Drosophila melanogaster: one gene and its partner. The protein of the gene in region 1 interacts with the protein of each later gene in a pairwise test. Each region holds a gene or a part of one and is shown on either strand. Other genes may lie near its edges.

Region 1 (3,392 bases):
ATTAACATTCACTGAAACGCATATTCCCATATTCATGACTGTCTATTTAGTTTTCATACGTTTTGATTTATTTATTTCCCCTATTTGATTTACTCTTAATTTTAGCACAAAGTCATTGACTAACTAAAGACCATCTGATTGCTCGGCGTCCCTCTCTAAAAATCACAAGATGACATCGGCTAGATCACTTACACATAAGCAATCAGACCCTCTATTTATTGCATCATCATGGTTCATACCGATCCACTTGGATAGAATCACTGGAGGGCAGGACTCTCGCAAGTATTCCCGAGCGTTCAAGCCCACAACATTAGATACAGTTTTGTAAACCTGCGTAAGATTGTGATATTGTGTGTTTTAATGTACAAGTTGAACATCCAAACGAAAGCTGTCGAAGCAGACGACAAGATGATAAATACCTCTCGCATGATATGATATACTTAAATAAATCAATTTAGACTAAAAGAAACCACCCATACGTTTTTTTTACTATCCGGGCCAACATTTTTAAACCCATCCTAAAACTATAAAATCAACGGCCGAGATTTCAAATGATAAGCTCTTTTAGCTTTTATTTGCCAACTTAATTATGGACTAAGAATCGAAAAAGCATTTACATCGTCTGTGTGTTCTCGATGACCTTCTCGTTGTCGTAGATCTCCTTGGCGTAGCACAGATTGGGGTAATCGTAGGCAGCTCCATATCGGTTCTTGCAGCCGGTGGTTGCCTTCTCTCCCGGAGTGTAGACAGGCTGACCCACAATGTTCGATGTGGCGAAGTTGCAGGTGAGTACGAAGTGGTTGTAAAAGTCCCGGGAGAAGCGCACCGCGGCACATCCCACATGTGTGTTCTTCTCGGCCACCGCGATGGTGAACTTGGTCACCGCTTTGTTGGGAAGCTCCTCCGGGAAGCTGGCGAGGATCTCGGGAGATGCATTCGAGCGCTCAGCAAACCAGTTCTCGATCTCCTCCTTTATTATTTCCGCATCGGTGTACTCCGTCTCGGCTCCGCTGTACTGGAACAAGGCGTTGTTCTGGCCGGCGTAGGCGAATCTCTCGGTGCTGCGGCACTTATCCGGCAGGGACTCACAGGTCTTTACGTTCAGCAAGGCCAGATGGGAGAGCTCCTCGCACCAGGACATCTTGGCCATGCGAACAGCCTTGGGTAGTCCTTCTATTTTGCCTCCAGCCACATTGTTGCGCAGCTCGTTGAAGAGATTGAGGATGAGTTTGTGATGCGGCTCGATCTTCACCTCACGCACGTCCTTGGGACAATTTTCACTGAAGTTCTGGATGGGGATTTAGGACATTACCAATACGAACTCCTGTGAATTTGGTTTACATAAGAACTTACTCCCTTGTTGTTACAGGCCACATGCTTGTCCAGACAGGTGGGGAGAGCACAATAGTCGACGGCAGAGGAAATGGCAACCACAGCTAGGAGAATCAATTGGAGAACCTTGGTGAACGCCATGATGCTAGTTCTTGGCTACTGGATTGGACAGCAGATGGGTCTGCTTTTATATGGCATTCGAACTGAGCTCAGCCACTTGTTCCTGGCCAGACATTCTTGGAAACTCAGCTGCGAAAATACTGGAAAACATGTTGCAACTGCGGTTCGATTGCCACAGCTATCCTATAAATAGGGTACTTTGGGTAGCTAAGCCTCAGTCCAAAACCAACGCTGAAGATGGCCATTAAGTGTCTGATTTTGCTTACTTCCCTGCTGGGAATAAGCCTTGCAGCGGACTATTGTGCTCTGCCCACGTGCCTGGACAAGCACATAGCCTGCAACAACAAGGGAGTAAGTAGTGATAGCTGGCCAAAACCTGCTGGTGCTCACCCATTCTCGCCCAGAATTTCAGTGAAAATTGTCCCAAGGACGTGCGTGAGGTGAAGATCGAGCCGCATCACAAACTCATCCTCAATCTCTTCAACGAGCTGCGCAACAACGTGGCTGGAGGCAAAATAGAAGGACTACCCAAGGCTGTTCGCATGGCCAAGATGTCCTGGTGCGAGGAGCTCTCCCATCTGGCCTTGCTGAACGTAAAGACCTGTGAGTCCCTGCCAGATAAATGTCGCAGCACCGAGAGATTCGCCTACGCCGGCCAGAACAACGCCTTGTTCCAGTACAGCGGAGCCGAGACAGAGTACACCGATGCGGAAATAATAAAGGAGCAGATCGAGAACTGGTTTGCTGAGCGCTCGAATGCATCTCCCGAGATCCTCGCCAGCTTCCCGGAGGAGCTTCCCAACAAGGCGGTGACCAAGTTCACCATCGCGGTGGCCGAGAAGAACACCCATGTGGGATGTGCGGCCGTGCGCTTCTCCCGGGACTTTTACAACCACTTCGTACTCACCTGCAACTTCGCCACATCGAACATTGTGGGTCAGCCTGTCTACACTCCGGGAGAGAAGGCAACCACCGGCTGCAAGAACCGATATGGAGCTGCCTACGACTACCCCAATCTGTGCTACGCCAAGGAGATCTACGACAACGAGAAGGTCATCGAGAACACACAGACGATGTAGGTGATAGTAGATGCTGGGATCTTAAACATGAACGCGGAACGGAAGCTTTATTAATATCAATTCGGTATATATAATTAACATGCAACTGGCAATAATGAATTCAATTCGTTGAACAATTTCTTCCACGGGAATTGGGGGATGCAGCAGCTTTAGCACGCGCCTCCAGAGTTTTGTGGGCATTGGACTTCAGATGGGATCTGTAGTGTTTGGCTGTCTTGAAGCTTATGCGGCAGATTTCGCAGCTGGAAGAGATTGGGGGTGAAAAAAATGTTTTACTCATTAGCATGAGGCTTCAAAAAAGTAATTTGATTACATTGAACTGCAGCATATCATATTCAACAGAGTACTGCTGATATTTTATAGGAATATATAGGCACACAATCGTTTTTTGCATATAAAACAAAAAATACGTTTGACATGCAAGATAGATTCGTTATTTAGTTGCGAATAATGGAAATCCTTCTAATTTGCATTCTCTGCAAATACTTAAGAACTGGGAGGAAGTCGTACCCGTGATCGCGAGTCAAGTTGTGATACTTTTGATGTGTCCTGCACTCGCTGGGTGTTACATACGACTTGGGGCAGTACTCGCACTGGTAGATACGCTTGCTGGCGTCCATGTGAACCCTGCGGAATATATTGGAAGGGTCACGTAAGTGGGGATGGTGGGCTAAGTGACGGTGGAGATTCGTCTGAAATTCTACCTTTCATGCATGCTGCGGGCGCTGCAAAAGCGAAAGGTTTTGCCACAGTTGTAGCGACAGATGTAGGGACGCTCGGTTGTGTGGGTTTTCTGATGGGAACAGAGTTCGGCGGCTGTATAAAAGGATGCGCTGCACTGGTCGCATTTGTGGCGTCGTG
Region 2 (3,922 bases), on another chromosome or scaffold:
TCTTAAAGAATTACCAAAAATGTAAATGGATAAACAAACATGTTTAAATTAAAGGGCGACATTCAAAGCCGCGTTCGAAACTGAATACTGTTCTCGATATTATCAACTAATTGTAGTTATTCTACAGTCTTGGGTAGTTTTAATGCATCTAACTTGATACTTGTGGCAGTAATCAGGTAACTTAGAATATGTATTTGACGAGCAGCTGTTTAATAACAAATGTCAGTATTGTCGAAGGTATTATGTGTACTAAACTAAGCCTTATATAGTCTTTGGTAGTCATTGGCATTTTTTTTTGCTTGTGAAAATAACCTCGAGGTAGTTATTGGCATACACAATCCTCTCGGTATCTTCTGGTGCTGGATTGTGCAGTGGCAATATTTCACGATAGGGATTGCCCATTATATTGTAGGCTCTCTCGATGGCAATCTTGCTCTTCTCAGCGGACAATGTGATGGCCGCGAAATCGGAAATTGCCTGAGCCCTTGAAATCGAAGTGTAGCAAATGGGAACACCAAAAGATCGAATAACACTTGACAAGCAAGGCTTCCATTCGTTTTCGAGTGGAACCTTCCTTTTCATATACCTAGAAATTCTCTGGGTTACTTTACCGACTCCGAAGAAATCGGGTTGCATGATGAGAATCAAGGTGGGATCCACATTTAGAATACAGGAATATTGTGAAAATGACAGGGGGTAAAAGCATTTCACCACGGTTTGTTCAAAGCTCCTGTCGCTGAATTTGATATCCACTTGGTCGATGCGCCCAACGGTTCTTCCAATGAAGTGTAATTCCAGATTACGAATGCTTGGGTACTGCAGGAACAGAAAACGCAGGTGCATGTCCTCGAAGTAGCGCAAAGTGTCCTCGGTGGCGCCGGCCACGTAGACTATGACAGCTTTATTCGGATCTGGGACCCAGGAAATGTGCGACAGGGCCAGGCACAGACTTGCGATGCCGCTGAAGGAGGAACAGGTAGCGAATAGCTGGTACGATTCCAGATCGGTCCAAGGAGTGTCGCTGATCCGTATGTCGGTGGCTTCGGTGAAAGCCTTGATTAGATTAGACTCTTTTAGTGGGCAACTGCGGTAGAAGTCCTTGATATTCACTAGACAGTTCAACTGACGAAACGGAGTGGCAATCAGAGCCAGGGTCTGGCAATCCTCCGGGGTGTGATAGCCCCTGACTAGGCGTTGGTGTGCCGCGGAGCAGAAGGCCACTCCGGCACATCCTTCACAGTCCTCGAGAGCTTCAGTGCTGAAGCACACATCGCACACGGCTGGGTTGCCGATTAGCTGATGCTCCCGCTGATTCAGTGGTCTGCCCAACTTGGCCAGCAGGACCATCTTTAGCTGCGAAATGACGAGCTGAAGCTTCCTGCGATCGGTGATTTGGCCGAGCAGCTTCAACGGGTGATCGATCTTCATGGACTTCTGCAGATCCCTCAGCACCTCGCAGAGTGGCTTGTGTTCTTGACGATCCGCCACGAGATGGGACAGGCTGCAGTATCGCTGCATATTGCAGCCTCTGCATATCACGCTGGGCTTCACATGTGCTTTCTCCAGAAGCGTTTGCAGGTGAGCAAGGTTCTTTTCCACCTTGTCCGATTCCTTGGTGAAACCTTGTATCAATTCTGTCCAAGTCCTGCCCTCATCGGAGACGCAGACGAAGCACTTCAGAAAGGATCCCACTGGTGGATCTACCGGCGCCATCATTTTGCAATGCTCAGATTCCTGAAAACGATGTTACTGCATCATGTGTCAAGCTCTCTAGAATGTCCATTTACTCATTACCTTGACCAAGTTTCCTTTTATTCATTCAATTCGAGCATTTAATGTGCCAAAACAGTCGAAACTGTTTAAAAGTTGAGCATGATATCTGCGTACCGGTCAAAAAAAGCGCTCTTGCAATGTGGATTTAAAGAACTAGTTCCAAAGATCTAGATACCAGAGCCTTGTCGTAATTGCCAGAAATGGCACAGATATTTCAAGTTCTACTTTCCTAATATTTGGCTAACTAACTAAGTGACTAACTTCTTTGATAGAATCTATTTTTTTTTACTAGAATAATTGGATATAGGTTCCACTTGTGAACTTTAGAATTTCTTCTAGTTCGAGCCGAAAGTGCCATCTCTATCGGTTCCACATCATGTTTGCATTTGTTGGCTTTTCGGCTTTGTTTTGATTTTTGTAAATAAAAAGGAACAGAAAATGGCTGAAACTTTTGCCGAGGAAAAGCCCAAGGAGAAGTCCAAGGCAAGCAGGCGCAAGGACAAGAAGGACAAGACCAATCAGATCGTTAAGGTACCGTCCAGACTGTCTTAATCCCACGATCCTCCGAAACTAATGCATTCATTGCAGATTGTGATGCGGCATTTGCCGCCGACCATGACGGAGGCGCAGTTCCTGGATCAGGTGGGTCCTTTGCCGGAGAACGACTCGTATTACTACTGCAAGGCAGACTGGTCGCTGGGCCAGGAGGCCACCTGTCGCGCCTACATCGATATGTCCTCCAAGGACATAGGCGAGGTGGTGCAGTTCCGGGATCGCTTCGACGGCTACGTCTTCGTCGACCACAAGGGCGTCGAGTACATGGCCATCGTGGAGTATGCTCCCTTCCAGTGCTTCCTTAAGAACAAGGCCAGGAACGACGACAGCAAGGTGAACACCATCGAGAGCGAACCCCACTACCAGGAGTTCATCAAGCGGCTGGCCCAAGAGCGCGAGGAGGCGAGTCGCATGGGCGACGTCAAGATCGACTTCAACTTCGAACGGCGAACAGAAGAGAAGGTCAAGTCTACACCCCTCCTGCAGTACCTGGCCAACAAGAAGGAGAAGCGCCGGGAGGAGGCGCGCAGGCGGAACGAGGAGAAGCGGAAGCAACGCGAGGAGCAGAAGCTGTTGCGATTGGCAGCGCAGTCGGACGCCAGCAAGCTTAAGGAGGCCGAAGGAGGCGGCGGAGGAGGAGACACGAAGAAGCCAGCCAAAAAGGATGTCAAAGATCCGCAGTCATCTGGATCCCAAGCCAATGATGCCAAGGCCTCGCGCTCCAAACGACGAACGGAGCGGGATCAGAGGCGACGCGAGGAACACGAACAGCGTAAGCTAGTCAAGCGGGACAAGAAAAAGGATGACGGCCAGGGCAAGCAGGACAAACAGGACAAACAGGACAAAGGCAAGCCATCCAGCGGCAAGCAGAACAAAAATTCAAAGTCCATGGACATCGTTATCTTGAAGAAAGCAAACAAGCCAGAATCAAACGAGAGTTTGGACGTGCCATCCACTTCTAACGCTGCGGAGGCCTCGAAAGAAAAGCCTGCGACTGAAAACACCGAGACACCAGAAGCTGCTGTCAAGGTTTTTACACCGGCTGCCAGAGGTGGTCGCAAGGAAAAAAGAACCGGCGCAGACAAGCAGCCAGCAGGTTCCGCCCACGAAACTGCAGAGGAAGCCATCAAGGCTGCTCAATTTCGAGCTTCAGAGGAGCGGCGCATTCGGAATAAAGTGGGTCTCACCTATTACCCCCCTCGACATTTTACTAACCCGCTTGATGTTTACAGGATCGACCATCGATTGCCATTTACCAGCCCAAAGCCCGAATTCGTGCATCAGATGAGCTGCCCCAAGGTGCAGGCGGCAAAGATGGCTCGGATGGAGAGGCTTCCGTGGTGGAGGAGAAGACTTCGAAGAGGAACAAACGCCCCAATCGGCGCAACAAACCCAAACCGAAGGAGGTGAAGGAGTGTGAGCTCGAAACTCGTCGCTTCTCCAAATCCTCCGAGAGCAGCACCAGCGTCAAATAGCGATAACAGACTTTTATTGTTAAATAAATCGTGTACACATGGCTGGAGCAGACCGGTCAGTAGAACTCGTCCTCCATCTCCATTTGTGTGCTCGACTTTTGATTATTTTTAACCTGATC

The links.
Region 2: the proteins of scpr-B (region 1) and CG17658 interact in a two-hybrid assay, tested with the Drosophila melanogaster proteins (one large-scale study listed by BioGRID).

The regions. Positions count from the first base shown.
Region 1 is NT_033777.3:11,239,277-11,242,668, reverse strand, and holds scpr-B (SCP-containing protein B), read left to right. Parts: upstream 1-1,677; 5' UTR 1,678-1,689; coding exon 1,690-1,803; intron 1,804-1,856; coding exon 1,857-2,531; 3' UTR 2,532-2,628; downstream 2,629-3,392. Other genes in the region: scpr-A (SCP-containing protein A), read right to left, coding at 614-1,288, 1,354-1,473; CG31388 (uncharacterized protein), read right to left, coding at 2,632-2,773, 3,042-3,158, 3,236-3,392.
Region 2 is NT_033778.4:23,893,057-23,896,978, reverse strand, and holds the start of CG17658 (uncharacterized protein), read right to left. Parts: upstream 1,917-3,922; 5' UTR 1,795-1,916; intron 1,735-1,794; 5' UTR 1,717-1,734; coding exon 280-1,716; 3' UTR 1-279. Other genes in the region: Upf3, read left to right, coding at 2,212-2,304, 2,362-3,504, 3,561-3,803; DNAlig1 (DNA ligase 1), read right to left, coding at 3,860-3,922.